2 linked regions of the Diceros bicornis minor genome follow. The protein of the gene in region 1 interacts with the protein of each later gene in a biochemical or structural test. Links are inferred from orthologs where the notes say so. Each region holds a gene or a part of one and is shown on either strand. Other genes may lie near its edges.

Evidence for each region.
Region 2: the proteins of AP2M1 (region 1) and ATG9A interact in a biophysical measurement, tested with the Homo sapiens proteins (4 studies listed by BioGRID and IntAct, with this or other methods). The link is inferred for Diceros bicornis minor from reciprocal best matches to the Homo sapiens genes AP2M1 and ATG9A.

What each region holds. Positions count from the first base shown.
Region 1 is NC_080754.1:39,494,881-39,510,550, forward strand, and holds the start of AP2M1 (AP-2 complex subunit mu), read right to left. Parts: upstream 8,303-15,670; 5' UTR 8,201-8,302; intron 6,193-8,200; 5' UTR 6,150-6,192; coding exon 6,076-6,149; intron 4,198-6,075; coding exon 3,932-4,197; intron 3,190-3,931; coding exon 3,107-3,189; intron 2,519-3,106; coding exon 2,383-2,518; intron 2,293-2,382; coding exon 2,151-2,292; intron 1,641-2,150; coding exon 1,521-1,640; intron 1,421-1,520; coding exon 1,285-1,420; intron 1,182-1,284; coding exon 1,084-1,181; intron 578-1,083; coding exon 466-577; intron 1-465. Other genes in the region: DVL3 (segment polarity protein dishevelled homolog DVL-3), read right to left, coding at 12,248-12,684, 12,783-12,998.
Region 2 is NC_080776.1:9,525,474-9,540,787, reverse strand, and holds the start of ATG9A (autophagy-related protein 9A), read left to right. Parts: upstream 1-8,024; 5' UTR 8,025-8,058; intron 8,059-8,176; exon of another isoform or gene 8,177-8,493; intron 8,494-9,032; 5' UTR 9,033-9,087; intron 9,088-9,503; 5' UTR 9,504-9,532; coding exon 9,533-9,635; intron 9,636-9,752; coding exon 9,753-9,796; intron 9,797-10,324; coding exon 10,325-10,389; intron 10,390-11,158; coding exon 11,159-11,320; intron 11,321-11,503; coding exon 11,504-11,645; intron 11,646-11,882; coding exon 11,883-12,631; intron 12,632-12,714; coding exon 12,715-12,868; intron 12,869-12,972; coding exon 12,973-13,152; intron 13,153-13,557; coding exon 13,558-13,806; intron 13,807-14,014; coding exon 14,015-14,193; intron 14,194-14,296; coding exon 14,297-14,414; intron 14,415-15,199; coding exon 15,200-15,314. Other genes in the region: GLB1L (beta-galactosidase-1-like protein), read left to right, coding at 78-209, 441-656, 820-1,089; tRNA endonuclease ANKZF1, read right to left, coding at 1,411-1,534, 1,758-1,843, 1,979-2,146, 2,281-2,392, 2,555-3,041, 3,711-3,860, 4,037-4,265, 4,546-4,693 and 5 more. UniProt on the Homo sapiens protein: Phospholipid scramblase involved in autophagy by mediating autophagosomal membrane expansion. Cycles between the preautophagosomal structure/phagophore assembly site (PAS) and the cytoplasmic vesicle pool and supplies membrane for the growing autophagosome.

The sequences.
Region 1 (15,670 bases):
AGAAAGCATACCTAAGAGTAACTAGCAATCATTTGGGTTTGAAGTCAGGCCCTGCCTGTGATAACTTGAATCAATTCCTTTGATCAGCAGGAGGCAGCAACCCAAGACCTGCCTTAGAACATACTTATCCTGCTCAGTATTATGGACTTAAAAAATAAGGTGGAGGAAATTATATGTCTAACATGCACACAGCAGAGTCAGCCCATTTTCCTCTCTGTAAGTAAACATTGTGTCTTATCTGGCATTCAAGCAATCTAAATTTTTCCAAAGAATTGCTTTACGACAAACCAAAAGAAGTCAAAGATTTTTGTCAGTGTGAATAGCAATTTCTAGTAAGAGGCCTGAAGGGGGAAGAAATGGGTCTATGAATTCAAGGCACTTCCCTTCTCTAGCTGTTTCCTCATCTGCAGCTGTCAGGGGCAGAGGTTGGTCTGAATGATCTCTAAGGCCCCTCCTCTGCCATACCTCAAAGTTCATGGAAATAGGGGGTCGAGCCCATTTCTTCTTGTCGTTGGTGGGCAGAAGCTCAATCTCCGCGCTGATCTGCGATTCCTTCATGCCTGCCATGCGCTTGATCCTGGGAACACAGGGACAATGAGCAGCAAGTGCCCCTGGTAGCTTGGAGGAGTTTCAAGGGTGGGGAGGGGGAAGAGAACCCAGGAGCTGGTGGGTGGTGCTAGGACAAGGAAACGTGGTGAGGACCCTGATAACCACTTGCTTTGGAACCTTAGGTCTGCTATTCCTTTAGCAGTGTGGGCTGCGGTTTCTGCTTAGATACATGGGCATGCCCTCCCTGCTCTCTGTCTACTTCACGCAGATGTCACAAGGGCAAATGGGGAAGCATGAAAGCATCTTGATGAATAAATGCATGCGTGCACCCAAGTGTGGGCATGTGCACACTCACACAGAGGTATAAGAGGTAACAGCACAAGCAGAGGTTCCTGGAGAAGCAGACAGGCACCCTCCCGCAACACACACACACAGACATACACACACACACTCTCAGAGGACAAAAGGTAAAACTTAAGAGGGTACACCAAGACATCCTGAGCCCTGCTGGGATCTCATGAAGGAAAGACTCACTTCCACACGATGGCGTTCTCGCTGGCCTTGTACTTGGCCTTCCCCTTCATGCAGATCACCTGTACCCCACTTGTGTTCAGTGGGGTCGGGATCCTCACCTAGAAGTGACACACCTGTCAGGGAGCTCTGTCAAGCCCTGACACCAGCTGCCTTTATTTCTGGAGACAAATGCTTCCTCCTCCCCAAGTCCCTTGTCCTCACCTCAATCTTCTGAGCCAGTAGTGAGGGCTTGAAGTTGGACTTGATGACCACCTTGACCTCCAGCTTGGTGCGTCCCACTTCCCGCACTAGCGGGATCACCCGGAAAGGAAGAATGATGTCCTTGGTGGTGCGATACCTTTGAGGGGGGAGCAAGGTTGGCATAGTAGAGCCTGTCCTCCTCCCTCTCCCCTGGCTCTGCCAGCAGCACCCCCTGCCTCCTCACATCCCAGTGGCACCTCATGAGCTCAAACTCTCCATCTGGTGGGATGAAGCTGATGCTGCGTTCGGAGTCAAACTTGCTGAGTCGCACACACTGGTGGAAGGTGCAGTCATCGATGGCAATTGATTGCTTCCCACTGCAAGCAGGGGCAGAAGGTCTCCTCGTTGGTATAGGAGAGTGGCAGGAGAAAGTCAGGCTGGGAGGCTATCCCATCCCCAAAGGCTGCCAGAGCTTGGGTGAGGCATTCACTATAGACTATGGGATGCTGCTGGAATGCAGCTTTCTGACTCAGGGGTCACTGTCCCAGAGTTAGGGATGAGGGGGAGCTTTGCAAGCTCATCATCTCTTGAGAGCTCTGCTGCTTGGTACCCAGAGGTTTCAGGCACACTGGGCAGAGGCCATCAGTATGTACAAAAGAGCCTTGGTCTGGGGACCAAACGAAGCAGCTTACTCCTTGAGTAGGATGAGGACAATCCCCTCATCTCTCTTAAGCACAGATGTCAAGAGCAACCAGCCAAGCACACCCCTGGGAAGAAGGAGTTTGCATTACTGCAGAAATGACATCCAGAAGGAACTTGTGATTCACCAGGCCCCTCTCAGCCCTCCAAGGTCCACCCTCTTGCACCAGCTCCCCTGCCTCAGGCACCTCTTGCTTGTTTCATCAGCTGTGCCTTTGCCCTGCTTCTCAATGACAATCTTGTCATTCATCCCAAACTTGCACTCGGGCATGCCACTCAGGTAGCTCTTCATCACCACACGGCCCGACACGTGGGCGCTCAGCACCTGCCCTGGTGATAGACAGATAAACAGGAACACCTGAGTCAGGACCAGGCTCCTGCCCCAGTCTCCCTCCAGCTTCATCACAAGAGGGCCCTCACCCTGCGGGGACATGAGGAGGTTCACACTCTCCAGCACATCCAGGAAGAGCTCATTCCGGCGATACTTGATGCCCTCCCGCCGCCAGCCAATCTGCCCAGTCACCTGGCTGGTGATCTGTGACTGTTCTTCTTTTGTCTACATGGGGGATAGACACAAACAGCAATGGCCTCCCTCCTCTCCACTCCACTCTCATCCCCCACTCCCTTCTAGTCCCCACCTGTAACCCGTCTTCCCCCACAAGCCCCATGGGGCAGGGCCTGGAGAAAACGGAGCAAAGCTGCGAGGGTGGAAGCTGAGGGAACAGCTTACCTGATGCTGGAGGCCACAGGGCCAATGTGGTACCCACAGGAAGCAGTAGGGGAGCACAGACGGGAAGAGGCAGGCAGAAAAGAAGGAGGAGAAGCTATGAGTCCTGGATCCTAGAGGAGGGCCCAAGCGCTCTCCTCCTGAGGAACACCAGGCCACTAGAGCAGCCACCCCTCCTTCCCCCAGTGCAGAAGGAAACTGCTTGAGCTGCATTCCCAGTAACAGAGGTGCTGAGTCTGCTCCTGGAGTGGGAGAGGGCCACACAGAGAAAAATAGGCCTGCAGTCATGGCAGAAGGCTCAGGCCAGCACTTCCTGTCAGAGGCAGGCTCATGAGTCAGCTAGGACAAGGCTTGGGGGCCAGCTGGGATGAAGGGAGGTTGGGCTTCACCCTGACTGTGATTGTACAGTTCAAGTACCTGGCTCTTGATACCCTGCTGGGTGATGAAGGTTTTCAGTGCGCCTGTCTCTGAGTTCTGTGGGTAGCCGAAGTCCAGGATCTCTGCAGAAAGAAGGAAACCATCAGCACCTGGAAAAAGCTGAAGGCTCCTTCACTCCAATCCCTCCCCTGGCCTGGACATGTCCGGCCAGCACAGCTCCAGAAGAGTGTGCGATCATCTGCAGCAAAGTCTTCCAGCTTTGTAGCATTTACTCAGCGATTTGTGCTTCATGAGAAAACAATTAAAATGTCAGATTTTTTCCGAGAAAATCAGCAGATGAGTCACATGGCCAGTGGGTGAGAGGTCAGGAAGCCCTGAGTCTTTAGAAAACAGAGATGTTGGAAAAGTGTAAGGACTGTTCACTTAAATCATACCTCACAGGGGAACCAAGATAACAGTGCACACCCAGGGCCTACACCTCACCCTCCTCCAGGCTCTGAGGCAGCTGTTGGAAGCTGGAAAGGTCAGTCAGTGAAATAAGGCCCAAACCACATAAGAGGAGGAAACGTGCTTAACTGCAAGAGGCCTAGCCACCAAACCCCAGCATCAAGTTCCTAGCCGCTAGAAAGATCTTTTGGTCTTCCCCTGCCTCCAATCGCTAGCCCATTTCTGTGTGCCACTTCAGAACAGCCTTAAGGTCTGGATTTGGACTAGCCTTCTCCCAGCTCAAAAGACCAGATAGTCAGGGAAAAGTTCAGAAGGCACTAGAGCCTCAGGCCTGCTCCCACCTCCAGGCCAGGCCTCTTCAGGTTCATCCCCACCTAGGCCCACTGCCCCACCAGCCTCACCAACCAGCAGCCTCACCATCCAGCAGCTCATATATGAGCACAAAATTGTTCTTGATGTTCTCCTCGCTGATCTTGCCAAAGTAGGCGGCCATTACATCACACATCTTATAGAGGAATTCGAAGACCATGGCAGCATTGACATTTTGCTTGGTGACAGCTGCCAGCCAGATGTTGGACCGCTTAACATGGAAGAAACTGGTGCGAGCGATGTTGGTGACGGGGCTGCGCACCTGCTGCCGGGCGTGGATAACATTGACCCGAAAGGCGTCCACTGCATTCCTCCTGAGGGAAAAGGGCGCACAGGGGATGCTCAGCACCCAGGCAGACCTCATTCCGCAGGGATCGACCACAGCTGCTGACAGCCCCACCCTTCAGTGCTCAAGTCTGACTCGTACTATAAAGCCAATGCCTAAACCACTGGGTGGTTCCCTTGTGACTCCCAGTGGGGATATGGGAGGAGGGCCAGAGCTGGGCTGGTGTCTGAAGACCATGAGAGACAGGGAAGTCAAGTGGCAGTGACAGGAAGACAGATGTAACCTTAATAAAGTGAGGTCCATCAGTTTAGGCGGGTATGTTCCTGATTCCCGGGCCTGGCCCCAATTTCTCAGCTGCCACCTCTCTAGCTTCTCAGTAAGCTCCAGGCCCAGATAAGAAAGAGACCCTGCTTCTTCTCCCATCTTCCCACTAGTGATCCCACCAGTGGGGAGGGCTGGCTCCTCCAGAAGCTGGACAAAGCCAGCATGACTTCAGAGAAGGCTCTAATCTACTGACGGAGAAGCACCAAGGGGCCGTGGAGCGGGGTCCCCCAGTCTTGCTGAGGATCCAATTCCAGGGCAAGTTCAGGGAATGAAAAAGGATGAAGAAAATAACGATGGGGGGGCAGGGCCCCCCACCCACCTGTGCCTGGGCGGCAGCTTGACAGGCCGCTTACCTATTGCTACGGCAGCCAATGAGATGGGATGAGAGAAATGACGCCAGCAAGAAGAGGAGAGTGACAGCAACGAGAGAGAGGGTTAGACACACAACACACTAGGGGAGAGGGGGGGGCAGCAGACACCACGAGGGGGAAACAGACGAAGGACAGGCGAGGGGTGGAGAGCACAGCAAGACACGCAAGACAGTATGTGCCCTGGCCTCGGCTTAACCAGGTCTATCCAGGGAAGGAGGGGGTGCAGAGGGGTCTACCCAGCCAGGTTCAGGCAAGCCAGGCATGGCCACAGGTCTAGCTCAGGGGCCCCCCCCTCCCCCCAGCCAATGGACGAACAGCCACAAAGGCCAAGCCAGCCCATTAGCCAGGGAGCCGCGAGCCAAGGAGCTAGGGCACTGCAGCAGGCCCATTCTATGACTATCCTAGGCTCTTTGAGGAAGAAAAACAGGGCGGCATGAACCAGAAGAGCCTAATCTCATTAGAGCTGCTGAGGCTAGGCCATGTCCTTTCAGTCAGTAAGAACAGTGGAATGCAGGGTAGGGCAGAAGGCAAAGTAAGGCTGTGCCTCCTTGTTAAGATCTGAGGGATCCAGAACAAGGAACTATTCTGGGTCTACTCTGACAGGCCAGAAAGGGTAGCATGGCCTCCCTGCCCTTCCCTCAGTGACCTGCAGAATGCCTCAGGCTTGCTCACAACCTCTCCTCCAGGAGTAGCCCAGAGGAACTGAAAACAACTGAGTCAGCAGCCTGCCTCCTTCTGAGAAAGGGAGTGGGAGAGGATTCGGCAGCCTGGAGAGGCTTTCAAGAGAATACAGTGAAGGCTCTCACCATGAGAAGACTTAGATGGATTAGTACCTCCAGCCTGGCCACTAACTCCACCCACTGGAGACTGATCTCCCTCCTCCTCAAAGGAGGTATCAACCTGCCCAAGCAAAAGCATTCATCTCCAGCAAGCAGGTCTATCACTAAGGGAAACAGAAGACAGGAAGGACAGGAGTCCCTAAGACTATGAGGGCCATGCCATTTCCACAGGTCCCACCTAGCGGCCAGCAACTGGCTGCCAAGCCAACACCACCGGACCTAATGGGAACCAGACTGTACTAGCTGAGCTTCCAGGATGCAGCAAGGCGTAGGGGTGGTCCAAGTCAAGCCTCTGGTAGGGACCTGGTCCTACATGCTGGGGAGGAGGGCTGAGGAGGGTGGGGGCACAGCTGGCTCAGCCAGGGGACTCACCCGATGTCATCTCGGTAGACCCGGGAGATGAGCACCTCCCCCTTGTGATTATAGATGAATAAGCCTCCAATCATGGCGGCAGCTCAGTCTCCGCAGCCCATCGCTCTGAGAACAGACCTAAGACAGGCGGGGGCAGGGTAAAGGAAGGCCTCAGAAGCCTTGCCAACGTCCCCTGTGGGGCTGTGCAGGTCAGTGGCTGGGCTTTTTTCCTGACTCAACCTTTCAGCAAGTGACCCTGCAGCCCTCCCAGGCAGGCCCCTCCCCTTAGCCAGGCTCCAGTTCCTGTTTATCCCATCCTGGAAGGGAGAAAGAAAGGGAGAGGGACTGGAGCCCAGGACTCTAAGGCCATTTTGACCCTCCCTTTTCTGGGCTGAACCCAGAGAGTAGCCCCCTCCCCCTCTCCACAGAGCAGAGCTGAACTCAGTAGGGATCCTTTTCTCCTTTTCCTGTGCAGACTCTCACCCAGGCTCTAGCCAGTGAGTCACTGCGAAGGCCTGCCTGCGGCTGCAGGAATGGCGGTAGAAATTACTCCAACTGGTTCAGGCCTGGGGCCCCCAGGCACAGCTTTAGGAACACCCAGTCTCTCAGGCTCCACTACCCTTCTGAAAAGGCGGCAGGGCCTGAACCTCCAGCCTAATTCACAGAAGCCTAAACATTCCAGGAAAGGGTGTGGAGCGTGGGGAGAGGAGGAGAGAAGGGAGGCCTTAGGCCCTGACATGGACCCAGGACTGTGGCTCCAACCTCTCCCAGACAATCAGATAAGCAGGCAAAAGAGCAGAGGAGAAAGGCCTCAGCCCTGGCCCACTACACTTCAATGACCCAAGCTACTTATTAGTTATTTTTGACTACTCCCCTTTCAAAAAGGGAGGTTCCCTTTCAGCTCCCAAGTACAATAAAAATAAGGAGGGTCGGGGGTGGGGGGAAATGCAAGTCCTTAAAATTAAGAGATCCTTCCAGCTGAAATTCTGTGATTCCAGACCCACAACATAACTCACTTCTGGCCTGAGAGCCTATAAGCAAGGGGCAGAATGCCTCAATTATGCAAATTATCTGGGTCAAACTCATTTAGATTGTTTACAAGGAGAAAAAGGGTTAATTTTAATTTAGTTCTAGATTTCTTGGATTAGCTCTGGTATTAAGTTCGCAGGCGGGGAGTTTGGCAGACTTTTCTAAACTGGAAAATAAAGTCTATTACTGTGGCCGTCAAGGTCTCCCAGGCGCAGTGAGGGGTCTCCCAAGGTGGTGGACACATCCCATCCCTCAGTCGCAAAGAGGCTGGGAGAGGAAATGCAAAATGGAGGTTGAGCCGGGGGGAAAGAACCAAGTTCACAGGTATCAAGTGGTGGGGAGCTCAGGGCACAAGAGAAGCAGAGATGGGCCCCAGGACTGGAATGGAATATTCAGTTAAGGGAAAAGACTGGCAGCAATAGCCAAGCCCTATGCTCAGGTGAGCCCAAAGCAGCGACAGGCTGGCGGGGGCACCTGGAGAAAGCTTCCAGTATGGCAAAGGTCAAGGCCTTGAAGAGGAAACACGGCAGGGAGAGATTGACAGTGGTGGAAAGCTGGGGAGACGGAACCTGTTTTGGGGTTCAGGTGTAGAGGCATAAGTGGGCGGCCTTTTCACCCTGGGGAGGAAATATCGCCGAAAAAGATGGTTCCACGGGGTGCGGGGGCTGTCGCAGGCCTGAGAAAGAAGAGCCACGGGGTGTCACTCTACTGGGAGGAGGGGGTGCCGCAGGGTGGAGGCTTGTCAGAGTCCAAAGAGGCGGCACAAGGGGGTGTCACTGTCCTGAAGTGGGGGAATTGTCCTTGCGCTGAGAGGAGGCGGCGCAGAGGGGTAGGGGGCTGTCACGATCCCAGGGAGGGGAACGCCGCGCGACGTCCCTGCTCTGGGAGGATTCCAGTAGGTCTCCCTCTCTCGGGAGGCGCAGGGCGGGTCAGGTGGAGGGCGCCGCTCCCCGCCCGTGCTGCAACCGCGCCCTGGGCGCTCCCGCCCCGCCGTCAGCTCCCTCCGGATCTGAAGGCTGAGCCCACTCCCGGGTGTGGGCAGCTTTCCGCGCAGCGCAATGCAGAGCAGCGGGGCAGGCGTCCTCCTTCACCCCGTAAGGCCAGATCCCCAGCTCACCTGGCGTCCGCGGCCCTCTGCTCGGCCCGCCCGGCCACTCTCTGGATCCCAAGATGTCCGCCCGCCCCCTGCTCGCCTGCCCGCTGCCTCGGCTTTCACCGCAGTGCCGCGGCCCCGCCCCGGCCTCGGCTGCGCGTGCGCATCTGCCTCCCGCGCAGACTACAAATCCCGTCAGGCTCCTCGGCCTCCTCGCTTACAATTTTAAGCTCTCTAGGTTTAGCAGAACTACAACTACCGACGGGCTTCGAGAACCTTCGGGGGGTGGGTAGGAGTGCCCTGGGAGTGAGTAGGAGTGGCTTTATCTAGCCTTACCCCAAATACACATCACAGCGTAGCTGGTCCGCTCACTTCATTTTCCCCTCTGAGCAGTCTGGGAATTGTAGTGTGTGGCGTCCCTCCTCTTCCTGTTTTAGTATTTCGGAGAGTCTCAGAGGATTAGTGGCCTTTGTTGAAACAAAACTGTTAAGCATTCTTTTTTTGGTGAGGAAGATTGGCCTTGAGCTAACACCTGTTGCCAATCTTCCTCTTTTTGCTTGAGGAGGATTGTCCCTGAGCTAACATCTGTGCCAATCCTCTCTATTTTGTACCTGGCAAGCTGCCACAGTATGGCTTGATGAGCAGTGTGTAGATCCACACCCAGATCTGAACCCTCAAACCCTGGGCTGCCCAAGCAGAGCGCATGAACTTAACCACTACACCACCTACCAGCCCCCAACTGTTAAGCTTTTGATTGCTGTGGGGACTTTTCTGTCTTCAGAGTCCAAGGACTAGCTGTCCTCACATGACACACAAACACAAGACTTGGCAGTAGAAGTGTTTGTGCTGAATTTACTGCTGTCTAACACCACCTGTGATTCTCCCAAGCTTTTTTCATCACTTATTTGTTCCAGACATGAGCCTTTTCCCAGGGGTCAAGACCCAAGCTAAGAGGCAGGGAGTAAGGAGGCAAGTACTTGGAAGAAACTAGCTAAAGCTTTTCAAGAATATGCCCAGTGTTCCACCTCAGCTATACCTGCGTGACTGTGAGCTCTTCAAGGCCAGGACCTGTGTGCCTTCTAGTGACAGGCATATATGTTGCTTAGAAAACTTTTGGCAAGTTAAATTTAACTGGACATGGGATTTGAAATCCCCACTCTGATGAACAGAGTTAATCTCCACAATCAAGCTGAGGAGACAGCCAACTCTTGAACGTGAAAGGCTTGTGTGGCTGTTGCAGGACCTGAAGAAAATTTGTGGGCTCTTCTCTTTCTGTAGGGAGATATAGCCTGCTGCCTTCCTTAGGCAGGGCTGAGCTGACATGAAAGGAAGGGCAAGAAATAGCAAAATGGGTTTCAAGCCATATTGTACCTAGCATCCTCCCACCAGGAACCAGGATGTGGCAGGATGAAGATCTGGTCTCCTTCAAACCATGTTCACAGTGGGAAGCCATTAAGTGACCAAATACAGGCACTTCTAATCCTTGAACCAGCATTCAGGGCTTCACTCCTCCCTTTATCTTCAATACATACCCTAAGCCCTTACTAATTTAGAGTAAATAATGGTGATAATAATGATAATAATAATAATAGCTACCATTTATTGAGCACCTATTCTACTGTGTGCCAGGCACTGTGCTAGGCACTTTTCGTACAATATCTAATTTAAATCCTCACAACAACCCTGTGAGGTAGGTATTATTATCGTCATTTTACATATGAGGGAATTGAGGCTCAGAGAGATAAATAACTCTCCTATCACACAACCGAAACGTAGTAGAGCTGGGATTCAAACCCAGAACCACCTGACTCCAAATCCCATGCTCCTGTGAACTAGAGTAGAGGCAGAGGAGAAAAGAAGGGCCAAATTCAAGAAAGATTGTTAGAGTGGAATGGATATGATACGCTGACTAGTAAGATATGGGAAGGAGTTTAAGCCCATAAATGTTTCTAGCTGGTGAGCCTATGTAGTGTGGTGAAGGTACCCAGGATTGGAATTCAGGAGGAACACACTTGGTGGGGAAATGAGTTGAATCCATGTAGACATGTCCCTGGATTGTCCAGTGGGTGATAATAATACAGATCTAAAGATTGGAGGGAAGTTGAGGCTGGAGATAATATATTTGGGAATCACCAGCATATCAGTGGCAGTTGAGGATGGATGATACCATTTGGGGAGTAAATAGAGAGGAAAGAGAAGTGGACTGAAGATAGAACACTGGGAGCACCGACACTGAAGGCATGAGCAACAGTGGAGGAATTCTCAAGAGAGTTGGACAACGTAGAGTCAGAGAAGGAAGAGAAGTACAGGAGGCAGCCCTAGTAGTGTCTAGAGGAGGCCATGATCCAGGCCGGCAGCAAACCCAGAGCTTCCAGAAGGCAGGCAAGACTGAGTCAGACTTCCAACACAGCCCTCACTCAACAGAAACCCCAGGAAGTATTTGATAAATGAATGAATGCCAAAATGCCCTACCCTGGTTTGCCCCAAAGCCTGGAGTTTAGGACTTCATCTCACTCTTGACAGCCAGTCCTGAAAATATGAGAGCCTAGGTGAGCCAGGTGAATTTATAGAAGAGGCTTAAAGAGAAAGTCATGTTCTGTTTAAATTGGAGAATAAGGTAAATAATAAAATTTGGCATTCTGTCTGGAAGTTCCAGAAGTCCCCTTGCCCACCATTGCTCTGGGGTATCATGGTGATTGTGAAAATAGGGAAGGGTGTGGGGTGCCGGAGAGTCCCCTGCTGAGCCTGGCCTGAGACCTGGCTTAAGGGCTTTATCCAGGTAGGAGGATGATGGAGACATGTGGGAGGCTTGAGGGCTACAAGGAAGGGAGAGGGATGTCAGGGGACCAGCCCCACGACCTGGGAGAGGACAGGGAGAGAGAGTCCAGCCCTCTGGGCAGGGACCAGCCCTGAGGCTTAAGCAAACTTGCATAGGCACGTGTGTGTGTGTGTGTGTGTGTGTGTGTGTGTGTACATGCACGCTTGCACGTGTGTGAAAGACAGAAAGAGAGAGAGATCATATTCTGGAAAGGGGAACAGAGTCTCCCATACATGGGCAAGAGAGTGTGGGGACCTTCACAGAAGCCTAGTGACTCAGCATGTTGAAGTGTGGGTGTGGGGGCTGAATATCCTCCGATATCCCCTGAGGAGCTCCTGAAGCAGGGGTCCTGGTCTCCTCGGAGGCAGGGCCTCCCCTCGCGGGGGGTCACAGAAAGTCAAACAGCCCGAAATTCTTGGCTGCTCCAGGCCCAGGAAAAATAAGGAGAGGAAAAAAGAAAGAAAAGAAATGTTTCAGGCCCAGAGGTGAGATGAGCCTGCTGGTTAGTAGGGTTAGGGGTCTGAAGGAACCAGCACACAGGGCAGGCATAGGGGCGCGGCAGGGTCGGGGGGAGGGGAGAGTAGAGATGCTCTCTGGAAGCCACTAGCAGCTCAGGCAACTTGAGGGGCCTCCTGGGCTTTTGGTAAGGGCTGAGCGCAGGCAGGGATAGCATGGATAGTCACTGGAGGTGACTCCAGCCCTGGGCTGCAGGACTGAGGCAGCAGGTGGGGACACTTAGGAGGAGAGGCAGATGAAGCAAGTATTTTTTTGGTGTCAGTATTGTGTGGAAAAGTCAGGAGATTGGCACACATGCTCGAGGGGATGGGATTAATAGAGGGAGGATGTCGCTGAATGAGTGGTGGAAGGGAACTGAGGGGGAGAAGGAGGGGACAAGGGGGTGAGCAGGGCCTCAAGGGCACCGCTGGGTTGACTCCTGAAGTGTGTGCGGGGGAGAGGGAAGTAAGGAGCAGCACCAGCAAGTCGGCTCCCAGGGACACGAAGGACCCTGGGAAGTCCCGCGCAGCGGTTAGTGGGCAGAGGGACAAGCTGGGGCAGGGGGCAGGTTAGGGGCTGCGGTGGCGATCGGTGGGTGCACCCCGCCCTCGCTGCGCCCAGCGAGCAGTTAGCGCGCCTGGATTTAGTTCCGTTTATTTCCCTTCCAGGTACCAGACAAGTAAAAAAGTCGGACGGACGGAGAGAGGGACGCAGCGGGCCAGGGCGGGGGTGGGCTGGGAGTGGGGGAGGGGCCCTGCTCACATCACATCCACAAAGAACTCACTGGGGTTTCCCATGGCCATGCGGAAGGACTGTCTGCTGGCGGTCAGTTCGGGGGGCACGGAGGCCAGGTCGCGGCCCGGAGGGGCTCCGGGGGGCCCCATGGCTGCAGGCGGTGGGGGCATCATCAGCATGGGGGGCCCGTAGAGAGGGGGCACGCCAGGGGGGCCGTAGCTCGGGTGCGTGTGGTGGCTGCGCAGGCTGCTGGCCAGCGAGTGGTGGCTGCGGTGGCTGTGCTCGCTGGCGGCGGGGCCCGAGCGCTCGCTGGGCGCCCGCTCCCGCGGCCCCCGCAGGCTGCTGCGCGTCGTGTGGTCCGACTCGCTGCCGCTGCCGCCCGACTTCGAGTCCCCAGTCTTCGGGTCCTTCTCCTTCCGCCGGTCACTGCCACTGCGGTTGGAGCCGCTGCTCCGGCTGCCTGTAGGGGACAGGCAGGGACGGGATGGGGGACGCTGAGAGCTTGCGGAGGAAGCCCGGGGCTCGCCTGGAGCACCCCCCAGGGGCCCCTCCCCTTACCTTCACTGTGCTGGCTGCTGGCGCTGCCCCCGCCATAGCTGTACCCCAGCTCCGGGAAGCCAGGGTGCGGGTTGTAGGGGTGCGGGGGCGGCGGGTACTGGTAAGGGAAAGCCATGGGCCAAGGGGCGGCCCCCGGGTGAGGCAAAGGGGCCAGCGTGTCCTGGTCAGAGGCACCGCTGGAGCCGTCGTGATCATGGAGGGACAGGTTGGCCATGTCTGTGGGGGGGAGGGGGATTAGGGGAGGGCCGGATGAGCTGGGTCTATCTCGTGCCCCTGCACCCCTAGTTCAGGAGAGAGAGGTCGCCAGCCTAGGTTGGGTGGGGGCCTTTGGGATGACACCAACAGCTGCGGTAGTTTCTCGCCAGAATGGGAGGAGGCACAGGCCAGAGATCTCGCACTCCTTCAGCCCTCTCTGCCCCCCACCAGAGATGGTGGGGAGGGAAACCCTGCAGAGATGGCCCCAGGGAAAACTCTCCTCAGGAAGGCCCTGAGTTACACTGCAGCTCCTCAGTGCCAGATCCTGGCATCCAACTGCCAGTCCTGTATCCAACTGCCAGACCCCCTACCAAGCCTTTGGCAGTTTCTCCTCCTTCTTCAGTGAACTGGAAGAAGGGGCAAAACTCTTTTATTTGGCAGTTTTCTCCACTGTTCACTTAGAGGGTAAGAAGTAGGGGAATGTGCAAGGCTGAAATGCCAGCCAGCCACCAGGTATGGCATACCTGCAATTCATTAGGCACAATACAAAGCACTTCATCTCATGCAAATGTTACCACAAGCCTATGAAGAAGGTATTAGTCACATTTTTTCCAGATGAGGAAAGTGCAGTCCAGAGAGGTTAAATGACCAGCCTGGGATCAAGCCAAACTGTCGCCAGAGCAGAAGCTGAGCGTCACTTACTTTCTCCTTACCTTTCCAGGTGAGGTCATTAGTAAGGAGTAGGGAGCAGTTTGGGGAAATTTAGGTGAAATTTTGCCCTCCCCCTTCACCTAGGACTGAAAAACTACCCATTAAAAACCAGAATGAACATCAGGCCTTTCAGAGCCTCCCCATATAGAAGGCCCTTGGCCTGGATCCATTTTCTGGTGCTGCTGGGGAGGGTGGGAAGGGCCAAGAAAGAGAGCAACTTAGGTGCCTCCTCTGTGCTCTGCACCCATTCCCAGCCAGGCCTGGTTCTTCACAGCACTTGTCTCACTGTGTTAACATTACTTCTTTCATGACTCTGGCTCCCTCAGTAAACTGTGCAAGGGCAAGGCTGCCCCCACCAATGCTGGAACTACCTGGAACGGAGTATAAAGGACCACTAGAACTGACTACCTGCCTGGGACACCCCTTGCTCACACCCCATCTGTGCCAGGTCCCAGAGCTCTGGGAGACCTGTAATTGCCCTAGGGGACAGCTGCTGGATACAGACTGAGCCCTTTCTTCCAAGCCCTTAAGTGACCCAGCCCAACCTTCCAGGGGAAAAGAGGTCAGGAGAGGGGGCTCTGAGGGGGCTAAGGCAGCCTGTGGAGTTTGCCAGCCAAGCCATCAACCTGTCAAGGCCAGCAGCTAGCACGGGGGGAGAGGGGATGGGAAGCAGGGGCTTGCCTTGGCTTATGCCCAAAGAGCTGGTGACTACTTCAGCCTCCAGGCTGTGATCCCGAGAGGAGTGACTGTGTGCTCCTGGGGCTAGCCAGGTCCCCAGCTTTTCCCTTTAAGCCTGCTGTACTCCCAGCTGAGGAGACCTCAGCCAGTGAGAAGGAAAAGGCCTGTTCTGTCAGCATCTCCCTGAGCTGGGCCTCTGGTGGCCTTGGTCCATGGGTACAAGACCCTAGAGGCCTTAGGGAAGGAACAATGTCTCTTGAGCAAAAGCCACAGCTGCCCTGAGAAGCTTTATGTGTCCCTGGAGGTTTGGGGCCAGGGCTGACTTCTAATAATGATAATAACTACATTTGATTGAGTCTGAGAAGTCATTGATTCTAAGATGCACCCCAGTTTCAGAGATATTGAACTGTGAAAAACATGTTCATCTTAGAACCAATTAAATATATGTATAATAGACAACTTTTATAGAGCACTTACTATGGGCAAAACATGATGCTAAAAGCATTATATACATTGTCTTATATTGTTCACAAAATAGCTCTATGAGATAAGTTCTATTATTAACTCCATCTTGCAGACGAAGAAACTGAGGCAGTGAGAAGCTGTGTCACTTACTCATGTTCACACGGTAAGGGTGGAGCTAGGATTTGAACTCCGACTGTCTAACTCCAAAACCCTATGCATCTATCACTACTCCATGGGGCCACACTGGAGCTGCTGAGGGCCAGGGACCCACTCTCCACCAGGGACTTGTGCTCTGCAGAAACAGCCTTTCTAGTCCCTAGAACCTAATCTGAAGCATGTTAAGAGTTAGCTTTTGGACTCCAGCCAGCACCACTGGGCCCAGAGAAGGCTCCCTCAGGCAGAGGTGGCTGCTGGGCGTGGGCTTCAGCTCCCAGCCCTGAGCAATGCTGTCCTGTCTTGAGGACTCCCATTCCCAAGGCTTGTCCAGAGGCTCAGAAGGAGAAGGATGGTTCTCTGCAGACCTCTCCTGCTTAATAACCCTCATTGGCTTTGCACTGTCTCAGGATCAAGTCCAAACTCCTCAGTTCAGCTTGCAGAGTCCTCTACCACCTGGCCCCGACAGCTTCTCCAACTTTATCCTGTGGCACAGCCCACTCTCAGGGGTCTGAGGAAGCTGTGGACTTGGGGCCTCAGGCCAGCCCCTGGTCCTGCCCTAGTGGAACCTGCTTGGTGCTGGAAGGCTGAGCAGGGGCCAAGAGTAGGAACTCTGTTTGGCCTTGCTGAGACAATGTTTCTGCAGCACCACACACCTAGGGCAGCCCCAGATGGTGTGAAGAACA
Region 2 (15,314 bases), on another chromosome or scaffold:
GTCCTAACGTGGCTTCCTGTGTGATGGCCACGAGCTAGACGCTGGGCCCTTCCTCTCATAGAGACTCTCATCCACAGGTGTTTCATGGTGTTTTGGAACGAAACATGAAACACAAATTATTTGTGATGGGGCAAGTGGGGGCCAAACTGGACGTCTTGCTGGAGAGCATGGGGAGGCTCAGTTTCGGGTCTAACAGCAGTGACTTCAAGGTAAGCTAGTTCTGCCCGCCCCCTCGCCCTCATACTCTTACTGACCAAACTCCCTTGGAAAGATAGGAGTCAAATGGCAGATAAACAAGAGCCATGTCCTTAGGAGTTAGGCAGCAAAGCAGTGGCTTCTGGTATCTGGACATGGCCACTAGCTGCATCCCAGGACTTCGTTAGGGACAGTCGGGCCTCAGAGCTTAGTGAGTGATGAATGCGCCTTTGCCTTCTCCACAGGGCCTCTTAGAGCCACCAGTTCTGGGGCAAACAGTCCTTACCGAGTGGCTGATGTTCCCTCTGAAAGTTGATAAGCTTGTAAAGTGGTGGTTTCCGCTCCAGCTGCTGAAAAAGTCACGTCCTCAAAATCCCTCTGGCCCCACCTTCTACTCCACAACGTTTCCAATTTTAGGCTCAAGTGGGGACACATTTCTCTACCTACCTGGATGGACCAAGGTATTGCTCACGATGCTGGTTGGGGTGGGGAGTGGGGTGGGAAGAGAGGAAAATCATGGAAGGCAGGGAGCAGAAATTATTCCTCATTAGAAACCCCAAAGGGGATGATTCTCCCCCCTTAAGAGCTGACCCTTTATTTTCCTCTCTCTTCCCTCCTTCCCAGGGCCAAGTCTGGATCAATGGGTTTAACTTAGGCCGCTACTGGACAAAGCGGGGGCCACAACAGACCCTTTATGTGCCAAGACCCCTGCTGTACCCTAGGGGAGCCCTCAACAAAATCACGTTGCTGGAGCTAGAAAATGCGCCTCCCCAGCCCCAAATCCAGTTCCTGGATAGGCCCATCCTCAACAGCACCTTGCATAGGACATACATCTATTCCCTCACAGCTGATGTACAAAGTACCCCTGAGCCAATGGAGTTAAGTGGGCACTGAAAGAAAGGTAACCCTTGGACCTGAGACATGGAGGGGGCAGGATGCCTTGGTGCTGGCCACAGTGACCACATGGAACCACAGGCCACAGGCCTGAATGTAAGTTCAAGGGCAGTTTCCATGCCAAACTTTATTGTGATTAAAGTTCCAGAGATGGTCCCACCTCCACACACCTCTGTGGCCCTGTCTTTGCCCTGGTTCCCGAATCCCCCTCACCCTAATCTTCCAAATACTCTCCGGTTTCGAGGGAAGGAAGAAACCTAGGGCTAGTGTGAAGGTGCCCTCGCAGGGCCTAGAGCTGGCCCCAGTCGGAGCTGTAAGAGATCAGGAAGAGGGCTTCCCAGCCTGACGGCGGTGATGCTGGAGGCAGCGTGTGGAGCAGAAAGAGAAGTCGAGGTAGTGAAAGGGAATGAGGCCTTGGAGGGATGTCCCACAACTCCAGCAGCGTCTGAACGAGAGGAAGAAAATGGCTGGACTGGTACCCCAGAAACTTCCCAATGCAGCTCTCCCCATCCCTCCTCCTGCCATTTGTTTTGCCTCCAAAGGTTTGCAGAACATCTCAAATCCCCTCAACAGCCTTTCAGAGTCCTGTGCAGACACTCATTCCACTCACCCCAAATGGTCCCCACAGCATCACAGTCTGCCCGCTCCCACCTGCCCCCTCCACGTACCGAACATTGACGACGGCAGGGTCGGGGAGCTGAGGGGCAGGGGCTCCCGACTGGGCAGCGAGGCGGCGCTCTGCAGCCAGAGCTCTCTGAGGGGAACAGGAGCTGCGTTCAGGTCAAGGCCCCAGTGGTGGAGAGCATCCCTAAGAAGTGACGGCTGCACACTAGGAAGGGACCGGACCTCTAAGGAAGTCTCGCCGTGGAGAGAGAACCTGCAGCCTCACCTTCTCGCGGTCGCTGAGGGCGGCAAAGCGCCGCTGCTCTTCTTGCTCCCGCATCTCCTGCTCCCGCTGCCTCCGCTGCTGTTCTTCCCGCTGCCGCCGGGCTGCCTTCTGCGCCCTTTTCCGCAGAGCCTGCCGCGCCTCCATGTCTGGTGTCAGTGGCCCTGGCACCTGGAGGATTCCCGGGAAAGTATGAGGTAAGGCCTATGCAAACTATGCTTGGTAAAACTGTAAGAAAGGAGGAAAGATCTAGCCAGGATCTATGGTGGTGCCTTCCCACTCTGCTTCTTCCTTTTCCAGCTGACCTGAGCCTTGTTGTAATCATAAGCATCTGGATTCTTCTCCATGAACCTTCGGAACTCATTGCGTGTTGATCTGTCAGCTGCAACTGTATACGGTGGCCGGGCCCGGGAGTCCCTGGGTGCGAAAACCCAAAAAAATGGGTTCAGCTTGCCTCCTGCATCTCCCAACATCACCCACCCAGACCAAGGGGCATACTGTCGAGTAGCCAGTGCCAACGTTAGCCTCCAGATCACCCTCCCTACCTGAAAAGGGACCAGCAGGTGGACCCCTACTTACAGCACAGTGGGGTCGGCACCTGCCTCCAGCAGCAGGCGAACCACTGAGCCTCTCCCAGCTGCAGCTGCTGCGTGCAGGAGGGTGAAGCCACTGGAGCCCAAGGGGGCGCTGAGCAGAGACAGAACTCCAGGGTCTACGGGGCTGGCTGCTAGCTGGAGCTTCAGCATCCCAACGTCTCCAGCTCGGCAAGCAGCTAGAAGTACATCCCAGAGCTCTGGCTGACCAGGGGCCTTGGCCTCATCTGGGGCAGGCCCCAAAGGGGCTGCAGGTGCCTGGGCCGACTGTGAGAAGGCCTCATCTTCTTGAGCTTGCTGGAGAAGAGTCATATGTGCCCCAGCCTCCAGGTCTCGGCTTTTCTCCCTCTTGTTCCTTTTTCTCCTCCTCTGCTTGGGCAATACCTCAAACTCACGAAGATCCAGGGTCCCAAGTGTCAACTCAACTAGCTCCAACTGTACCTGGAAGCTGTCCTCTTCCTCTGACTCTGAACCTAGGGAAAAAATTGACGTGTTAGATCCATCTAAAGAATAAGCAGAGGGTGGAAGGGTGTGGGCTGCCCCAGATGTATAAGAATGTACATGAAGAGATAATCCAGCATCTTGAAATAATATTGTTTGTATTCTGTCACCTGAGATAAAGGAGCACATCAAGGGCTGAAGCCATTGGTATCACATGCAGAAATGGGGCTCGCGGCCCAGGCCCAGAAGGAGCTCTACAGGGACAGGAGTCTCTGGGCATTCCCCGTGAGCAGCCTCGGGATGGTGCATAGCAGAGGAAAGCCTGGGGGCAGTGGCAGCCGTGCAAGCCAAGAGCATGCAGCCAGGGAAGCAGCCCTTAGCCCAAAAGCAGAGCATCCAATAAGACAGGTAAATTATGTGAGATTCACCCAACACATATCCAAGCATCTACTACATGCTAAGACTTTTCTACGTGCTGGGGATACGTCAACGAACAAGAGATAATAGGAGATTTGGAAAGGTCACTGAACGTGTCTCAGTAATTGCTACCATATGCCCCATGTTATTAACAGACCTGTGTGTGTGTAAGGGCTCATCTATAAATAGGGAAGTGGGTCAGTTATGAGAGTAGGGGATTTGCCTCTTGCATTTCCAGGACAGACCCAGATAGAAATATGGCAATTCCCAGATGGTGCTCAAACCCTGTTTGGGAGCGTCCTCGTTCTGCCCAGCTGCCTCATTTTCATCGCTGGGGACCCTTCTTTCTTCCTCAACAGCCTTCTTCCTCTCTCTCATTGTCTTCCAGTGTGTCTGAGCTAAGTCCAACCTGACTGTCTCCCGGGGGTCTTCTCCTGCCATAAAACAAAAGATGTTTCTCAAGTTTAGCTGAGGAGAAGCCAGCCCAGGTTTCTCTCAGTGAAGATGCCATCACGCTGCAGTCCTAGAAAATTATCTGGATGCACAAATGAGAACCTGAAGATTGGGCTGGAAGGTCTAGGGAGTCTAGGGATCTGGATAAAAGGCTTACCATAAATATGCAGGGTAGTCAGCTTATGGAGCACACGCTGTAGCTCTCGGAAGGTGGGTCTGCGGGTAGCGAGGGGGATATCCCAAAGTCGGGGATCCCCCCGTTCCAGGGGTGCCCCGTGGCCTCCGAAGAACAAGGACCGGCCAGAGCGAGGGGCACGCAGCAGTATTGTCCCAGCCTCCCCCAGTGCCTTAGCCCAGTCTGGCCCTGCCAGCAGGTCACGAACATCCTGGAGAAGACAGTAACTCAGCCCTGCATGGCTTCACTTGCTGTTAAATCTCCAACCAAAAAATGGCCCACAAATCATATGAAGAGGTAGATGACACAGAGAGAGGAAGAATGAGAGGACTAAGACTGCTGAGGATCCATCCCTATTCTGTCTTTGTCTCCCCAGAAATAATGAAGGCTGGAAGGATACAGGAGTCAACCTCCCTACTGTAACATTTAATGAGTTGAGAAAGAAAAAAGTATGGATTAGAGGACCACCAGATGTGGGACACCCAACTCACCTTATACAGTGTGGCTTCATTGTAGCGCCTCAGGTTGGCTCCAGCAGAGCGAGAAGCCCCACCCCGGGCATCCCGAAGCCCCTGGGCTGTGCCCCGCTTGGCCCGCACTGTGTAGCGGTGAAAGGTTTTGTGTGTCACCACTTCTCTTCTGTAGACAGCACAGACTCAGTACTGGAAACCAGCTGGTACTCCCAGGCTAACAGGATCCATTCCATCCTCACCCCATGCAGCACCCTCTCACCCTTGGAAAATGGCACCAGCAAAGTGCCCAGCTGCAGCCATGAGCACCACGCAGGATCTGGGACCTCCACTTGGCAGGTTCTGTAGCAGCAGTTCTGGTTCTTCTGGGGGCACCTGGACGACAGAGGAGCAGCACAAACATCCTATCTGTTGCATCCACTGAGAGCAAGAAACCAAGTGCCACTGCTAACAGCTTCACACGCATTCCTTCATTTAATACAACCACCCCAAGGCTCATCAAGATCAAGTGATATAATCACAATTCAAACCTAGATTGGTCTGTTTCCAAACTTGATTCCATTAAACTTGATCATTCCAGGATTCAGGCCAGTTCAATCCAAAACTATGCTGTCAAGTGTGATACCCACACCCAACAGGAAGGAAGGGAAGAAGTGAAAAATGGACTAGGCTATGGGGAAATCTAGAATGACTGTATAAAAGGCTGGAGTTCACTGCACAACCTGTGCTGACACTTGCCTGGCGAGGACCTAGGACACAGCGATAGGCATAAAGAAACTGGCCCTGCGCATTTTGGAAAAGAACCCGATGTGGGTGGAAGCCTCGGGGTCTGTTAGGCTTCTCCAAGTCAGGCCTCTCCTCATCCAGTATCTGCAAGTCCTCCTCATTGGCTGAGTCTGAGTCTTCTGATCCTGAGATGCTGGAAAGATCTCCTGAGAACAACATGAGATACACGAGTTTGGTGCCCTATCTCTGACCTCTCCTCAAGCTCCTCCACTAGGGCCTTCCTCCACCCCATGTCCTACCCCCACACGGCTCTCCCACCAGACCTCACCTGTGGAGCTCTGCTTTTCAAAGTCCACGGCAGACAGGAGAGGCTTGTCCTTGAGACGCTGCTTTAGGTTAAACCGATGCCAATCAAGCTTATAATGTTCCCTCTAGCAGGAGGAGAGGGAGGCAGAATGTGGAAATATGCCCAGCCTGGCGTTTTATGATACCCAAGACCAGGTAACACCAACTGCCTTAGTCAAAACATGGACCTCTATTAATTAAAGACAAATGTCTGTCTTCACCCACCATTATACTTTTGCTTCTACCATTTAACTCTGCACCTGGCCCTTTACCTGTTCCTGGTGGTTCTGGAAGGTCTGGTCACAGGTTGAACAAAGTAACTTCTCTGAAATATCTGGAGGACCCTGGAGTGATTTTCTTTCTGGGCTTGCTCTCTCCCCTGAACCTAAATAAGGGGAGGGTAATTAGAGGTAGAAAGGGAGCCCAGGGGCCGGCCCCACGGCTTAGCGGTTAAGTGCGCGCGCTCTGCTACTGGCGGCCCGGGTTAGGATCCCGGGCACACACCAATGCACTGCTTGTCCAGCCATGCTGAGGCAGCATCCCACATACATCAACTAGAAGGATGTGCAAGTATGACATACAACTATCTACTGGGGTTTTGGGGAGAAAAAGGGAAAAAAAAAAAAGGAGGAGGATTGGCAATAGATGTTAGCTCAGGGCCGGTCTTCCTCAGCAAAAAGAGGAGGATTAGCATGGATGTTAGCTGAGGGCTGATCTTCCTCACTAAATGAATGAATGAATGAATAAACAAACAAATAAATAAGAAAGGGAGCCCAAATCCACAGTACCAGAATTACACACAAAGCAGAGGAGGATACAACAGAACGAGATGGCATGTCCTTGCCTTCAAGGAATTTATAACCTAGTAATTGCGAAGAAAATGGCGCAGCAATCACTTGGTACAATAAATATGCTTCTGAAAAGATGTATGTAAAATGAATATAAATCAAACATTGTATTTAAATTAACCAAAGGGATTGTTTAGAGGAATCCTGTAGAAAATAATTTTTGGTAAGGTTAAAATTATTTTTAACTGTGCAAAAACCACTTCTGAAATACCAGTTTTTTAGCTTACATTTCCAATTACAGTGTGCAGTTTGGTTTTAAAAAGTATAAGAAAAACAGCTGGAAACAAACCAAAGTTGTACAAAACCAATAAAAAGTCTTATATTTAGCAAGAAGGAATGATTTGATTGGAATCCAGTTAAATTTAGACTTATATCTAGGAATTTTGAAAATATATCTAGGAATTTTCAAGTATTTCTGCAGGCAGTGGTGTAACGTGATGAGACATAAGCAATGGCAAGAGATCTGTTAAGACAATTCAGGGGCCTGTGCTGGAAACAACCCAGAGATTGAGTGAATTTAAGATAAATTTTATTAAACGGAAAAAGATGTCAATAAGGGCTCCTCAGCTGTGGAATACCAACAAGAATGTGTTCCCTAGAAGAGCAATACGCTCCAAAGAGCCCTGTCACGGTCCTCATGGGTGCACACCACGCCTTCCCGGGTACCTGGACAGGAAGTCTGCAGAGCCTGGGCCAGAGCCTCCCCGGGAGCGTGGCTCACTAGGCGGAGGCCCTGAAGGACCGGAGCATCCACGCTGAGGTCAAACAGGGAGACCGACGCAGGAGCCTGGGCTGCAGCTGGAGCCGGCGACATGGCTGAGCAGAAATTACTGAGAAGCAGCTCCTGGAGCGGAAAGGGGGTAGGAAACAGAGCTCCCCAAAGCGAGATCCTACTGCCGCGACTCCCGCATGCGTGACTTGGTCTCCCCCACGCCGCAAGACACCCTGGCCCTCACCCTGGTACCAGGAGTCAGTTCTGGGGTTAATCCGTGACCCCAGCCCGCTTTCTCCCAAGTCCCGTCTCGGGCCACACAAGAGTGAAATGGGGGCGCATCCACCTTCCTAACTGAGGCCCATAGAGTTAAAATTACTGAAGTTTCCTAGCCGACCGCGATGAGCTCCAGCAATGACTATACCGCGTGGACTCGCCCCCGCCCTCGGAAGCTGCATCAAACGTCCCCGGGAACCGAGCGGCACGTACGTCCACTGTTCGAAGCCAGGATTTCGGCAACACAACAATCTCGTCACTACGGAGTAGCGAAGAGGACAAAACGACTGCGCCGGCACCTGAGCCCCGCCCCACGTAGCGCGAGCTATTGGTCCTCCGACTGTCCAAGACCCGCCTCGAGCCCTTGGTCCCGCCCCCGAAGCCGATAATTGGCCGTCGTGTCTCCACCCCCCATGCTCATTGGTCAGGCTGGCTGCGGGTGACAGTGAGTGGCAGACGCCGGGCCTAGCGCTCGGGTCTGGCCGAGCCCAGCGGAGCCGACGGAAGCCCTGGAATCACCCGGGTCACCGTTCTTGAGGGGAGACGCGAGACCGGTTACTGGAATCCCAGGGTCCGGGCCTGGCCTGGCCAGGGGTGTCGGCGGAGCCCTAAGTGAGCTCGCAGCGGGTAACGGGGGAAGGGGCGCCGCGGGCGGGGCGGAGGCGCGCCGCCGGAATGTTTTGATAGCGGGGGCGCGCGGCCGGGGGTGCGCGGGGGCGGCGGGGGCGCGCGCGAGGTTGTCCGCTGTTGGGAGCCGAGCCCTCGGCCTAGGGCCGGCTACCCGGGGGCGCCCTGGGCTCGGGTCGTGGCGGCTGGGTGTCGGGAGGCAACCAAGCCCCCCTGGGGTATCGGCTGTCGGGCTGGCTCGGTTCCTCCAACATCCGCAGGAACCTCTGAGCCCACGCTGGGTCTCCCTGGGCCCTGGGTCCACACTGTCCCGGTGACGGGTGAGTTCCCTGAGGGCTTGGTCAGCTCCTTTGGACCCAGGGCTCTCACCCACCAGGGAATCCCACCGGGCCAGGCTGGGCCGTGCTCCACAGTCCCAGGGTCTACACTGACTGGGTGAGTGCCACCTAGACCCCTGGCTCCGGGGACCTAGGGAACCCACAGTTCACCCAGGATCTGGGTCTACACTGACCCAGTCGTGATTTCCCATCCAGGAGATATGCCTGCCTGCTGGGCCTTTGGTGCTAGGGAAGCAGGGGAAGGGGTTGATGAGAAAGGTCCCCTTGAGAAAAGACTCTCTTCTTGGGTTTTGGGTTTGGGGTTTTATGGACCTTGAGAGGCCTGTCTAATTTCTGAGGCTGAGGTTGGGTAATAAAGAAACAGTCCAGAGGGGCCGCCAACCTCAGGCCTCTACTGACTCAGTCTTCACAGGTTCAATAAGCCACTTCTTGGGATCCTAGAGTTGGCTGAGTGGCCCTGTATAGACAACCAGAGGAAGTGGGCATAGCCCTAGGCTGGAAGGGTGCCTCTTCCCCACTGCAGCCCCGCTGCCCCATGCTTGGCCCCTCTTAGTGGGGAGGGTGGGGGGGTGCGAGGGGGGGTTTCTTTCTGTCCCCACTCCCCACTCTCTGGGGCCTGACCTTCTCTTCCGGCAGCTGCAGAGCCAGGGCATCGAGGGCTGAAGCGGAGCAGACACTGTCCATGGAGCTGGTAGGACCATGTGCTTATCTCAAACTTTGGTTTACACAGTGCTTCCAACTGCTAGTCACTTGTGAGACCAGGGTTTCTCCAGGAGGGGAGGGGAGGGCCCCTTTTCTCCACTGAATATAAGTTGAAAGCCCCTCCACCCCCAAAGGGGAGAGTCTGGCTTTAGGCCAGCAAGGCCTCAGTAGACACTCAATAAAGGGTCTGGGAATGACTGACCTCACTGGTCAGGGAAGGCCTCCCAAACCCTGAGCTTGCTGCTTTCCTTGGGTTATTCCTCCTCCTCTGCCTTTGAGCCAAGAAGACTGGTAGTGAAGACCAAGCCCAAGGTTCCTGCTCACTCCTTCGGGCCTAGGAGGCAGGGCAGCAGACGAGTTGTACTGGGGTCTGAACCTGGGTCTCTTCTTCCTTGTCACTGGCAGGTGGACACGGTGGACAGGGGGCGGTGGTGATGGCGCAGTTTGACACTGAATACCAGCGCCTAGAGGCCTCCTACAGTGATTCGCCCCCGGGGGAGGAGGACCTGTTGGTGCACGTCCCTGAGGGGAGCAAGTGTGAGTTCTCGGACATGACAGCCAGAGCTGGGACATGGGGGGAGTTGGGGGAACACTGAGGGAGAAAGGGGCTTACGTTTCTTCAGGGCCTTGACATCTCTGCTCCTGTGCCCACAGCACCTTGGCACCACATCGAAAACCTTGACCTCTTCTTCTCTCGAATATCCTTCGTGTCTCTGTGTTGGAGATCTGGGACCTTTAGTCCCTCTCTAAGCCAGGCCCCTGATGGGAAGTTGGGGTGGGTTTGACTCTCCCTGGAAGGGGGGTGGAATCTTGAGGCTGAAAGTGGCTGGGAAAATAATGATCGTTATAAATAATGATACCTCACATATACCAAGAGCTCTGTGCTTTGTACTTCGTGGTGTTAATTTATAAAGAAGCTTTCTAAGGGTGATCCTCCTTTTTGATGGCATGCTAATAACCATAATAACTACTGTGTTTTGACTCATTCTGTGTCAGCTCTGTGTTAAATACTTTACATGCATTATTTCAGACCTAATAATCCTGTGAGGCAGGTGCTATTATTCCCAATAGACCACTGCAGACAACAGCTGAGAGAAGTTAAGTAACTTGGCCAAAGTCACCTAGCCAGAAAGTCATAAAGCCAGGACTTAAGCTCAGGGGTGTGACGCCAAAGTCTGTGCTCTTACCTGCTGTCTCTACCGACCACTTTTTCTTAACAATCACACGTTTACAATCTACACCAGAAGAATGGCTTTACTTGTATGCTCATCGGGGAGATCTTTGAGCTCATGTAAGTATAAGGGATGAATGATGTGTTGAAGGAATACATCTCTGTCTCTCCTCTCCTTGAGCTCCCGCCTGGCCCTACCTGCCAACGCAGTGGAGTCCTAGGCTCACTAGTTCAGGGACTGGGTGTGGCACGAAAATTTACAGCCCCACCTTTTATCTCTCCCTTAAAAGGAAAGCTTTCCAAGTCCTGTCTCTTCCACAAAGAGAACTCAGACTTGGTCATTTCATCAGAGCTCCAGTGGAATGGGCATGGTTCAGTCAGGAGGTCTCAGAGATGCCAGCTACTTCCTCGAGAAAAATCTCTGTTCTGCCTTGGTTACATCTCAGGCCTGCTGCTGGGCAGAGAGCCTTCTAAGAGGAAGGAGCCATATGGCCTTGCCAAAGGGGAAGGGGTTGGGGAACCCTCCCTCAGTAAGAAAAGAGTTCAAATCCCCAAAGGGCTTCTAACTCCTATCTCAAAAGGAAATCAGGGCCTGGGGACCAGAGACCACAATCACAAGACCTTTGGCAGAGTCCAGTAAGTGGTGGCAGAGCTTACTCTGAGGAGAGGAAAGGAGGCTGATGCTGTGGCACCTGAGGCTAAGAGCAAAAATAGGTGGTTTGGACCTGAAGGTCCCCTGGGGCTGAGCATTAGTGAGAGCCCACTGGGAGTTCTCCAGCCCCTCCATTTCCCAGAGGCTGCTCCCCAATCTTGACTCTTCTCTTTTCCCATCTTATTTTACTGGTGCCTCTCGGGCTCTCGGACTGTGTCCCTTTTCCCATTTCCCCAGGCAGTTCCTCTTTGTGGTTGCCTTCACCACCTTCCTGGTCAGCTGTGTGGACTACGACATCCTATTTGCCAACAAGCTGGTGAACCACAGTCTTCACCCTACCGAGCCCGTCAAGGTCACTCTGCCAGATGCCTTTTTGCCTGCCCAAGTCTGTAGTGCCAGGTAAGGGCTGCAGGTCAGAGGGCACCAGAGCCTGTAGTTCTGCTAGCAGTTAGGGAAATGGAGTGGAGGGTGAGGCAGTTACCCATTCCCTAGAGCACAGACTCAAGCTGAATCCTGCAGGATAGCAGTATGTCTGCAAGATTCCTCAAGGCCACCCCTCCTGCCCTCCTTTTTCCCCACCAGGATTCAGGAAAATGGCTCCCTTATCACCATCCTTGTCATCGCTGCTGTCTTCTGGATCCACCGGCTTATCAAGTTCATCTATAACATTTGCTGCTACTGGGAAATCCACTCCTTCTACCTGCATGCTCTGCGTATCCCCATGGTGAGACTGGGGAGTTGGGCAGTTAGCACCACAGCCCGAGACATCTTCTGCAGCCTGGGAAGGGCGGGGTGTATTCCTGGGCATCAGGCATCCTCATTGTTGTTGGTGGGTCAGGGAGCATCTGCTTAAAGGCTCCCCTCAGCTAAAGACAGGACCCCCGAGCCTCACAGCTAATGCGGGGCAAGGGGCCGAAGCACAAGCCCACCTTCCATACCTTGTCTCTTCCCCACTCCCCAGTCTGCCCTTCCGTACTGCACGTGGCAGGAAGTGCAGGCCCGAATTGTGCAGACGCAGAAAGAGCACCAGATCTGCATCCACAAGCGCGAGCTGACGGAGCTGGACATCTACCACCGCATCCTCCGTTTCCAGAACTACATGGTGGCACTGGTGAACAAGTCCCTCCTGCCTCTACGCTTCCGCCTGCCCGGCCTCGGGGAGGCCGTCTTCTTCACCCGTGGCCTCAAGTACAACTTCGAGCTGATCCTCTTCTGGGGACCTGGCTCTCTCTTTCTCAATGAATGGAGCCTCAAGGCTGAGTACAAACGGGGGGGGCAACGGCTAGAGCTGGCCCAGCGCCTCAGCAACCGCATCCTGTGGATTGGCATCGCCAACTTCCTGCTGTGCCCCCTCATCCTCATCTGGCAGATCCTCTACGCCTTCTTCAGCTACGCTGAGGTGCTGAAGCGGGAGCCAGGGGCCCTGGGAGCACGCTGCTGGTCACTCTACGGCCGCTGCTACCTCCGCCACTTCAACGAGCTGGAGCATGAGCTGCAGTCCCGCCTCAGCCGCGGCTACAAACCCGCCTCCAAGTACATGAATTGCTTCCTGTCACCTCTGCTGACACTGCTGGCCAAGAATGGCGCCTTCTTCGCTGGCTCCATCCTGGCCGTGCTGATTGCCCTCACCATCTATGACGAAGATGTGTTGGCTGTGGAACACGTCCTCACCACCGTCACGCTCCTGGGGGTCACTGTGACCGTGTGCAGGTGGGCCGGGGCAGCAGGTGGGAGCAAGCAGATCAGCGTTCCTGGTAAAGGCTTACATCTCACCATGACCCTGATCCCACCAGGTCCTTTATCCCGGACCAGCACATGGTGTTCTGCCCTGAGCAGCTGCTCCGCGTGATCCTCGCTCACATCCACTACATGCCTGACCACTGGCAGGGTAATGCCCACCGCTCGCAGACCCGGGACGAGTTTGCCCAGCTCTTCCAGTACAAGGCAGTGAGTGGAGTTGGAGTTAGGGCCTGCTAGAGACTGGCTGACAGCTCGGTGCTAAGGGCTGGGTCCCTCCTGCTCTCTTGTGACCTTGGTCCCCTCTCTTTTAGGTGTTCATCTTGGAGGAGTTACTGAGCCCCATTGTCACACCCCTTATCCTCATCTTCTGTCTGCGCCCACGGGCCCTGGAGATTATAGACTTCTTCCGCAATTTCACTGTGGAGGTCGTTGGTGTTGGAGATACCTGCTCCTTTGCTCAGATGGATGTTCGCCAGCATGGGCATCCCCAGGTACTGGGAGAAGAGGGGGCAGGTGGCCAGAGGCAATGCTGGCACAGACAGTATCTTTGGGCAGATTGCAAAAAGGCACCCCTTTTGAGCCAGCAAGTCACAAAAAGGCAGCCGTGCCTCCGGGCAGCCTTGTACCAAGGTACACACGGCATAGTAAACAGGAGCCTAGGCTGAATTTTAGCCCAAAGCTTGCACCCTTGGCCAGGCTCGCTTGAGAAAGGCACAAACCAAGCAACTAGCCCACCATGTGGCCACTCCAGGGGTGGGTACCGGGGCCCCTGGACAAGACACAACAGTGCATTGCGGTCTCTGTCCTCCAGGGGCAAGGCCTCCCCCCAGCAGGAGAGGTACAGAAAGGGTTCCTGTGAGAGGACAGTCCTGCTCACGGCAGCCTGCCTTCTGCAGTGGCTGTCCGGTGGGCAGACGGAGGCCTCAGTGTACCAGCAAGCCGAGGATGGGAAGACAGAGTTGTCACTCATGCACTTTGCCATCACCAACCCTGGCTGGCAGCCACCACGCGAGAGCACAGCCTTCCTAGGCTTCCTCAAGGAGCAGGTTCAGCGGGATGGAGCAGCTGCTGGCCTTGCCCAAGGGGGTCTGCTCCCTGAAAATGCCCTCTTTACATCCATCCAGTCCTTACAGTCTGAGTCTGAGGTGTGTTCCTGGGGACTGGGAGATGATGGGCAGAGTGGACTCCAGGAGCTGGCAGTTGAGGACCGGGCATGGGGTGGAAGGGCCTACCCTGCCCGTTTCCTTCTGTCTGTTCACTTTGTGCCATTGGGTCCTGACGTGCAGAACAGTGGGGGGGACCCAGAGGCCTCCCTCCTGCCCTGAGAATTCTACCCACCCCTTTCTTTCATAGCCACTGAGCCTTATTGCAAATGTGGTAGCCGGCTCCTCCTGCCGGGGCCCCCCACTGCCCAGAGACCTGCAGGGCTCCAGGCACAGGGCTGAAGTCGCCTCTGCCTTGTGCTCCTTCTCCCCTCTGCAATCTGGTCAGGTGCCCACTGGCCGGGCTCCCAGCACCATGACAGGCTCTGGGTGAGTAGAGGGGGGCTAAGGTGGGAGGGCACAGAAGAAGCCCCCAGCAGTTTGTGTGGGTCTCAGAAATGATGAGCACTGTCTGTCTGTGCTGGGAGGACAGGGTGGATGCCAGGACAGCCAGCTCCGGGAGCAGTGTGTGGGAAGGACAGCTGCAGAGCCTCGTGCTGTCAGAATACGCATCCACCGAGATGAGCCTGCACGCCCTCTATATGCACCAGGTGAGTGGGCAGGAAGGGGCAGGGCCAGAGAACTGAGGTGGCAGCTGAAAGTAGAATAGAGGGTTGCAGATGTGGAGAAGCAAGACATGGGGTCCCATCCCTTCTCTGCCATTTACCTGCTCTGCGGTCTCCATTCCCACCTGGATCCTCCTACAGTCCATTTTAGCCAACTTACTCTCATCCAGGGCCTTTACACACTTGTGACTTGTGGTCTCCCCTACCAAGAATCCACCTCTTTGAGAAATCCGTATGGCTCCCTCCTTCTCCTTATTCAGGTCTCTGCTCTAACCTTTTCCATGAGACCGTCTTTGGCCACCCTGAGTAAAAGCATTCCCTGCCCACCCTTCTGAATCCTCCTGCTCTATTTTTGTCTATAACGTTTAGCACTATCTGATATATTGTATTTTTTCCTTATTTATTTGTTTATTGTCTCCCCCCACCACCCCTGCCCCTGGGTCAGGACTGGGATTTTTGCCAGTTTTGTTTACTGCTATATTCCCAGCACCTTATAGAGTGCCTGGCACTTAGATCCGTAGCCAGTTCTCGAATCAAATGACTCGGTAAAATGAGCGCCATTATGACCCATGCACAGGCTTGTTCCAGGGACCCGCTGAGAAGCTAACCTGTAAAACATCATATGTATGTTACTAATAACCAATAGGCGCTCTGGGTCAGTGATTCTAGGTTAGGCGGTATAAATGGGAACTGGCCAATTCCATGGTGGGGGGCACCTGTTTCAGACAAATACCCTTCTGTCCCCAACTAATGAGCCTCCCACTTCTCAGCTCCACAAGCAGCAGGCCCAGGCTGAACCTGAGCGGCATGTATGGCACCGCCGGGAGAGTGATGAAAGTGGGGAGAGCGCCCCTGAAGAGGGGGGAGAGGGTGCCCGGGCCCCCC